Caenorhabditis elegans: one gene and its partner. The protein of the gene in region 1 interacts with the protein of each later gene in a pairwise test. Each region holds a gene or a part of one and is shown in the gene's direction. Other genes may lie near its edges. The genes, in order: syx-4 and unc-43.

Region 1 (4,310 bases):
CAAGTGTTCTAACTCGGAGCCAATTTTTTCAGGCATTTTTCAGATCTCGGTTCTTTTCAGCTTTGAATTGAGGGTTGTGTTTGGATTTTGCTTTGTTTAGAATAGATTATTACAAACCGACAAAAGTTTGGAAAAAATCCATCCAAAAAAATTTTTTTTGGTTGGTCATCAAAAAATCTTCAAAAATTTTTTTGTCGAATAATAATATTGTTTATTTGTCACAAGAAAGAGTTACACCGGAAGATAAAAAAAAAGTAGAGATGTGTGAAACAGATGTGTGAACAAATAAGTGAAATGACCAGCCGGACCAGCCATAGTCCTGGAGGTCAAGTTGGGGGGAAGAGGGTGTCGAATGGAATAGAGCCTAGGCGCGACGCAAATGCATTTGGAGAAAATTCTTGATTTTTCCTACAAAAATGATGTAACCAAGTGTAAACTATTTTTACACATAAAAGTCATTTGAGTTTGAAGTTTGAATCTCAAGAAATATTCAAAAAACTCAAAAATTATCCGAAAAAATTATTTTTTTCTATTACCATTTTAGTGTTTCGAACTAAACTGATATGTTTTGTATGTGTAAAAATAGTTTACACTTGGTTACATCATTTTTGTAGGAAAAATCAGGAATTTTCGACAAAAAATTTTTTCGAAGATTTTTTGACGACCAACCAAAAAAATTTTTTTGGACGGATTTTTTTCCAAACTTTTGTCGTTTTCTAATAATGTATTCTTAACAAAGCAAAATCCGCACACAACCCTCAATTCAAAGCTGAAAAGAAGCGATATCAGAAAAATGCCTGAAAAAATTGGCTCCGAGTTAGTGCACTTGGGGTGGTCAAAAACTTTTGTGACTATTTTCAAATGAAAGACCATGGTTGATAACATAAATTCCCACAGTTTCATAAAAATCGATAAGCAGCGAACAAAGTTATGATTTTTGACCCGGAACTTATTTGGAGACCTAATACTAACCATATTAATTCAATAAATTTATTTGAGAAGATCTTCAGGTGAGTAAATTTAATTTTAATTGGAAAAGTATAAAAGTTGCTTGTTTCTGTTTTTTATTTCCACTTGAACTGTCATGGTTGGAAACAAGGTGATGTGAAGTAATAGCAACTTGAAGATAATCTTAATTATTTCTAGCCAATATTTTGAGTCGACACAGCAAATTTTGTCCTCGACAGGCCACCCAAACCAGCTGTGATGACACCTTTTGTCTGGTGTAAACACTATTTATCTCTCTTATCTCTTCTATTATATTTTTCTTTGTTGTTAATTGTGGGTGTCCATGACAACTTGGAACATTGCTTTATTCATGTTTTGTTTTGTCAACGAAAACATCAGATGTTAGGAAAAGGTGCATCTTATCTTTAAATTTGAAATAAACAACATGGTACAAAGAACATTTGAAATAATCTGGAAGAAAATTTTGAAACGGTTTGCTTAAATATGGAAATATTTTTTTGGAAAAATTGCAAAATAAATTTCAGATGTCTGGAAAATCAAATGTCGATTTCGCGAGGGACCAACCCAAGGAATGAGAGAGGTTCGTCGGGAACAAACGAGCAATGGAGAATTCCCGAAAGTTCAAAAATATTCTAGTTTAATTGTTTTCCAATTTTTGTGCTTTTTTTTTGCTTTAAGCTCCATAATCTTTAAATATTTGTTCAAAAAATCTCACAAAAGTCAAATAAAAAATTTCAATTTTTTAAAGCCAAAACTACAGTACGACGAGACTCCGATATACCGGAGGCGCGCCCTGTTTAGCGTAAACCATAATTGACTTTTTTTAAATTTAATCGTATTTTTGTTCTTTTTTCTCAAGCTTCGCTTAAATTTCAATGCCTTTCTAAAAAACGTTTCCTAAAAAACCACTATTTGCGTGTATCGCACTAAAATTCGATTGTTTTGGTAAAAATCGAAATTTCCAGAATGGCTACTCGGGACCGTCTATTCGAAATGCACCAAATCTCTGGAATCAACGCTGCAAGTCCGGAGAAAAACAATTCAAAGGTAGAATAAATGGAAACAACTAATATACAAGAAGATTTTTGACATAAATTATATTTTTCTTTCCAAAAACTTGAAAATAATGTTTTTTTTTCAGTTGGCAGACGTCTCATTGCAACAATTTCTGGCGAATGTCGACGAAATTCGTCATGTCTTGACTACGCTGAGCGCAGATCGACACGCAATTTACATGGAGCAGGTAAAGAGAGAAAAGAAACTGTGACAAATCAGAAATAATGCTCAAAAAATCCGAAGTTTGATTCCAATTTTAAAAATATTCGGAAAATCAAATATTTATTGAAAACTAATGTTTTTCTTTGTTTTTAACTAAAAGCTTTCACGAAAAAAAAAACAAAAAAAAACAAAAAAACAAAACATTAAAATTTTCGACTTTTAGCCAAATCATCCAAAAACCACTAATTGCAGGTAGAGTCACTGGCAGCCGGCTGTTCGGACACAGCAAAGTGCCGAAAACTCAACGACCACGTGGATAAGTTCATAGCTCAAGCACGTGGCATCCGTCGTCGGCTCGCTGACGCCTCAGAGGAGCTGGTACAGTATCCGGAGAGTCGAGTGGGCTCGGGGCGAGCAAGACACGAACAGGTGCTTAATTGTCTGAAAATAAACGAACTTAGATCTAAAATCGGTGACCAAATTTACACTAATTTTAATTCTTTTCAACCTTTTCTCGAAAAAAAAATCATAAATTTTAAATGAATAACCGAAACCGCTAATTCCTGATTTTTAAGATCCAAATGCTTATCGTCTCGCTGGAAGGAATAATGTCGCAGTTTGCTGATGATCAAGCCTCCTACAAAGCAGAGGCAGCAAAGAAGATTGCCGCATACCTCCGAAAGCAGAACATCGAGGTGACGGATTCGGAAATTGATGGTGCCATCGAAAACGGGAGCCTCTTTCAATTGACGAGAAACATTAATCTGGGTGTTGCGCAGAAGAAGGCACTATTCGATGATATGAAAAACCGCGCCACGGATATTATGATTTTGGAGAAACAAATTCGCGAGGTCGAAGAACTCTTTGTGGATATGCAATTATTGGTACAAAGCCAAGGTGAGTTATTGATGTTTTGTTAACTGAAACTCGCTTAATTAATACACATAGCTCTTGCCCTAAAATCTTTTCTTTCTTTCCCAATTTTACAAAATCTAGCGGGCATTAGAAAGGATTAAGATCTTCGAAAACAAGAGGTCCCAGTTTTGCTAGGCGCTCAGTACCTTCCCTGAAAAACCGCGAAGTATTAAATTTTCAGGCGAAACAGTGGACCGAATCGAGACGAGCGTGATACGCGCCGAAGAATATGCGGAGCAAGCCCAGCAGAACGTGCGGCAGGCTGTTGTGCTGCGTCGGAAGAACCGTAAATGGAAGATCGTTACGTGCATCGCGCTGATCGTGCTCCTGCTCGTTGTCGTCTACCTTCTCTCCCATTTCCTCGGTGCAATCATCCCGGGTTGGAAATAATGCTATTTTAATTCCTTCGGGTCTATTTTTTGTGATTTTTTTTCGATTATTTTTCCAAGTTTCTACAGTATTTATACGAATAAACGTTTTTCTGCCAATATCGGAACAGTTTTGGCTCACAAGCTCAATTTCAGAGCTAAATTGATGGAAACCCTAATTTTGACTAACTGGTAATTAAATAAAATTGAGAAATAGTCTAGATCGTAGGTTATTTTAAATATCAAATAAGTACATTGTTTTTCCTCATTGGTTTCCTCATTGTTCAGAGAGACCAAAAATGACCGTAGTTCATTGATTTTTTCATGAAAAGAGTTTCTCTTTTTGAGTAACAAAACGATTTCAATTAAAATAATTTTACTAAATAAAAATACAAAAACAATTGAAGATCATTAAATGAACTTTTGGATTTCATCGTAGATGGCAAGAACGAGTGCTCCACCAGTTCCACGGAATACATTTGACAGGGCTCCCTTGAACATGGCGGACATTCCTTCGTTTTTGATGATCTTGACGGCACAATCCAAAGTATTCTTGTAGAGAACATCTTTGCGACCAGACTGCATCATCATGCGACGACGAACAGTATCCCATGGATAGGAGAGGATTCCAGATCCAACAGTAACCACTTGAGCAATAGCCCAGGCAGCGAAGAAGTTGAGTTTCTTGCCATCAGCAGTGAACACCATCTTGGCAGTGTCGAACATTCCGAAGTAAGCGGCGCGGTAGATGATGATACCTTGTACCGAGACAAAGAAACCTCTGAAAAAATAATAATTTTTTAAATTTTCTAAATAGAAAAAATACCTGTAGAGTCCGAT
Region 2 (4,833 bases), 1.9 Mb from region 1:
CTCATCAAGGCAATCTCACGTCAAGCTTGGGAGCTGGACCACGACAATATCGAGCCTCTGAAGAAGCTGGGAGAAGGTGCATTTGGAGAAGTGATGATGGGAACGATGAAGTTTCGGAAAGGAGGAAAGTCAGTTCAAGTGGCGATCAAGCAGGCGAAGCTCTCGAATCTCACAAAGGAGCAGATCAAAGAGTTCATGGGTGAAGCTCGTGTGATGCGTTCACTTTCACATCCCCATGTCGTTCGCTTTTATGGTGTGCCCCGTAGAAGAGTTAACGTTGCACTATGTCGGTCACTGAACGAGTTTCTTGCTAAATGTCACAGAAAATTGCGTTGCGCAACGCCTTTTTTTGTGTGTATGTCTGTGAATTGGCTCTCAGTGCTCAATGAGCTACGCGTTTTTCTTGAATAAAGGAAAGTTTTATGAACAGTTGATAATTTGAAATTTCAGTTTTATTTAAATATTTTTCCAACAACCTCGTTGTGTTTTCGAACATCAAAAATAATTTTTAAGATTCAGTCGAAGCTTTGTGCAACTTGTATTTAGGACATAATCTAAAATAGTTTTCCTCTCGAATCTCAGAGCTGTTGAAAAATATAATTAATTAATTTTGTACTATTTTGAATTAAAAAAACGCATTTTGGAAGATTTTGACTGCAGATATATGCAATTCAGAGTTAGATTTGAAGATGAAGCATCACAAACTGGAAAAGGCTTAATACCGCAAGTAGAGTTTTCACTTACTAATTTTTTACAAAATTTATTATTTACGTTCTAATCAACTTTTTTTTTTGAAAATTTTTCAGGTTCGAACCAGCAAAAATTCTCAAAATAACAAGACTTTGTTGTTGAAGTTTTGGCAATTTACCAAATTTTGACTGAAAGTTGTAAAGATTTAAATGGCGTTAGGAGCGTTTAATAATGATATTCAATTATGTTGGACTAAGTGTACAAAACTTTAAAAAAATTTGAAAGTATACATAGATTATTTCTAAAGAAGACGCCTATGAGTCTGTGGCAACGATATTTCAGAAGAACATTTTCAGACTCACAAGCTCTTTCGAAGCGTTTTTTAAGCGTTTTTCGAAAACAATACCAAGAAATGAATTACAAAATTTTTTTATTTAATGGTTTGTGTCTTCAATTAAAACACAGTTTTTTGAATAGATCAGATTCACCATGTCTGAATCCTTTAAAAAGTTCACTGCTTTTTGGGAATTTTTTTTGATAAATGAAAAAATATGCAAGAATCCAAAACCAAAGTTTTATACGGAGAAATGAAAATTTAAACTCAGAATAATCCGATAATTAGTCAAAATTCAACACATCATCGCCCCGCACTGTCTAGAAACCAGTTTCTCGTCTTCCATTTATTTTTCTTTTGAAAAAAGGCATTTTACGTACGTTTCGCCTTCTTTTTTCTCTCTTTTCAAAATCAAAGTTTTGTTATCGTAGTCAATTTTGTAGCATAGGACACAAAAAACACAGAAAAACTAGAGAAACATAGAGAAAACACACCGAGACCTACTCGTACGAAAGTTGAGAAATTGAAGAGTGAAATTAAATTGATTCTAATTGATTAGTAGTTACTGTCATTGTACCTATCTATCAACTTTCAAACTATAAATTATTGATTGAATGAGCAATTCTTCCACAAATTCAGGTTAGATTGTTTCTATTTTAATATTCCTATCTTCTAACAATTGAAAATATATATGATTCATGTTGACTGAGATTGATTGGTAGAAATAACAAAAAAAAGTTAGATAACATCGAACATAATTTGTTTGCATTCTTTGTTCTGCAGATTAGAACACAAAATTTATATCATGAAACTTTTTTTTAATTTGTAAGATAAGAAATGCGGGGTACATTCACACTGAAAACTGGAATTCCTTATTGATTTTTTTGAATAAGAAAAGTTTATTTTCGACTACGAGACTATTATTCAATAAGCCGTTAACATAGTCCCGAAAATTTTTACCTACATGCCTTCACCTACCTCGTACCTTCTTATCTATATTTTTCATTTCTAATTTTTAGAGTAATGCCTGTAAGAATTTAGAATTTTGTAAACATGGCCAAATATTATAATTACTAAACACTCTAATCATTTTTACTCAAAGTTTTGGTAGAGTGTCAAAATTTCAAAAGAAAAAGGTTTTTTTAACGACTGCCAGTTTTTGAAAAGGTTTACTATGAAATTTTGTATTAAAACATTGTCTAGTCTCAAACTAGAGTTTAGAACTCAATTAGATATTAGTCTAACTATATTATTCGAGTTGAGATCTACATGTGTGGGAAATTTCAAAACTTCAAAACTTGATTTTTTAAGTTCCCTCCTTGCCACTCGATTGTTTTGTGAAATTAATAGGAAAATTGATTAGAAAAAATGATTTTCTTGCATATTTCATCAAAAGTGCTGTGATTCCTTAGTAGTTCAGAGTTGCTGTAGCCTATAAGTTTTCCATGTTTGTTGCCAAGAAAACAGGTTTTTTTGGTGAAAAATAAGCTACATTAAAATCGAATAGGTCAGTTCCAAAACGAATGAACTCTGAAGATTGGAAATTGACCTCTCTTGCAATTAACCCATTAGCCAGAGACAAGCACAACACTCAAAAGTCAATCTAAATCTTACTTTCTGATTCATCCTTTTCCTTTACAATATATTCTGACTTCTGAATTCCAAAAGTTCAAAGAATACTCAAAAATTAACAAAAGTCGACCTGACATTTTGTAAGTGTCTATGTGTGCCAACAATTCGTCCGTTGAAATTTGAGAATTCGATCGTCGTCGTCGTCAGTCGAAGCCAGGCGACACATAACATTTTTTTTTCATTTTCATTTCTTCTTCAAAGAATTTAATAATATTAATCCATATTTTCTTTCAGAGGTCAATATAGATCAGAACAATCAATCAGACACGTTCAGGGAACATCCGGCAGTTACAGGCATTGCCAATCTTTCAAAAGGTATTCATTTTTCAATCTTTCAAATGTTTTCAAAGCATTTTAGAAAAATTTTGTTACAAATTTAGCAACTTAAGATAATAAATATGCGTAAATTTTTATTTTTTAAATACATTTTTAATTTGTTTTAAAAATTTTGAATTTACAGTCAAAAAGTGGACTCAGTTTTTATCTATAATAATTTTGGAAGTCGATCAAAAAACTCTATGAATTCCATACTTTATTCACGCTAGAGTTTAACAACTGTAGAGGCGGTGTGCGGCAAATTTTGAAATTTTCCGAGTTTGGCAAACTCGGCAAATTCTGCAAATTTACCGTGGTCGTCATACTCTCTAAATCGCAATATTTTTTTGAGCTCGAAAAGCGTCAAATTTAATGAAAAAATCTTGCAATTAGTTCACCGATTTTCGTTCGATTTTTGCCAAATGCTCATGTGTATATCTTGAATAAAAATGAAAGAAAAACGATTATTCTTTCATGAAGTTTCAGATCGAAACCATGCACAAATTTTTCATTAAAAATATTTTTTATGTGCGGTGAATGTCAAAATTTGCCAAGCTCGGCGAATTCGGCGAGTCTACATTTTTGAAATTAGCGATGCTCAGCAAACTCGGCAAATTCAGCAAATTTACCGCACACCCCTGTTGTAGATGTTGGAATCGCAAATAAACAAAACACTGTGATTTTAACAAAGGCAACATTTCGATTGAAACTATTTGAATTTTTGAGTGGTTTTATTGTGAAGAGTTTCAAAATTTGCATAATATATGAAGCTAATATTAATCAAGAGTGAAAATTCATAGAACAGCAAAACTGTTGATTTGCAAAATATTGATCCTACGAGTTTTTGATATTATTATAGAACATCAATAGAGAAGACCCTCCAGTTTTATATATTTTCCTGTTTCCACACCTCTTGAGACTTCTTCCTTTCGTTCATCCTCTTTTATCTCCATTTTCAAATATTGCTCTCTGTTTTGTTTTGACGAGAAGCTTCTCTTTTTCTCCCCTTTTCTCACAACCGCCTTTTTCGTTATAAGACTCCACCCATTTCTTATTCCCAACATCTTTTTTTCCTGACTACTCTGAACATCACATAGTCAGCTCACGGCTCGTCGTCGTCTTCTAATTAACATTTTGCTCACATAGAGATATATGTGTAAAGAATGTCTAACTTGAGTCGCTTATGAGAGCATAACTAACTAAATTAGACAAAGACACGGAGCAAAATGAGCACTAATTAACATTGTGAAGAAGCAAGAAAAAGAGACGATTACGGTAGTATAGAAATTGGAGAAATTGGAGAATAACAAGTAGCGTATGTTTTTCCACATACCCATCTATTGAACTTCTAACGAGACGAGGAGTTGCCTCTCATACGACTCATCGCTCACCTTCTTGGCCTACCGGCAGACGTGTGTCTAAAATTTAAAAAATCGTACCCAGCAGATTTTTTGAGTGATTTTTAGAAGTTTTGACACATTTCAATGTCAACTGGAACAAAATTGTTATATTTTCATATTTTTTACCATTTGAGAATATATCCAAATCGAAACTTTTGGATTCCAAAAATTCATACATTTTTGGGAAATTAAACCCTTTTTGCAGATTTGTACAGTATTTGAAAACTAGGTGGAAGTGGGATTAATATGATGAGTACTGCTAAATTGCAAAGTACATTCGATGCAGAATATATTGCAGACAGTTTTAATGTCAGAGATAGGAAAAGTTTTTTTTTAACTCAAAAGTAAGCCCAAACGTTCAGGCATATATGCAATTTCAAAATTGAATAAGAATTACGTGTCGCAAATTTTGCTCACAGCCTACATATACGATTACTTCGTATAGCAATTTCAGCAGGGCGA

What was found.
Region 2: the proteins of syx-4 (region 1) and unc-43 interact in binary tests that used the Caenorhabditis elegans proteins (3 or more experiments, as listed by UniProt).

Annotation. Positions count from the first base shown.
Region 1 is NC_003282.8:8,455,346-8,459,655, forward strand, and holds syx-4 (Putative syntaxin-4), read left to right. Parts: upstream 1-1,934; 5' UTR 1,935-1,935; coding exon 1,936-2,016; intron 2,017-2,110; coding exon 2,111-2,212; intron 2,213-2,439; coding exon 2,440-2,616; intron 2,617-2,762; coding exon 2,763-3,084; intron 3,085-3,283; coding exon 3,284-3,492; 3' UTR 3,493-3,588; downstream 3,589-4,310. Other genes in the region: ant-1.4 (ADP/ATP translocase), read right to left, coding at 3,882-4,251, 4,297-4,310. UniProt on the Caenorhabditis elegans protein: Potentially involved in docking of synaptic vesicles at presynaptic active zones.
Region 2 is NC_003282.8:10,347,023-10,351,855, reverse strand, and holds the start of unc-43 (Calcium/calmodulin-dependent protein kinase type II), read left to right. Parts: upstream 1-1,638; coding exon 1,639-1,663; intron 1,664-2,884; exon of another isoform or gene 2,885-2,890; coding exon 2,891-2,971; intron 2,972-4,538; exon of another isoform or gene 4,539-4,559; intron 4,560-4,833. Other genes in the region: Y43C5B.2 (Tyrosine-protein kinase), read left to right, coding at 1-411. UniProt on the Caenorhabditis elegans protein: Acts in the signaling of a variety of pathways and processes. Phosphorylates 'Ser-319' of daf-16 in response to stress signals, such as heat, starvation and oxidation, which plays a role in prolonging lifespan.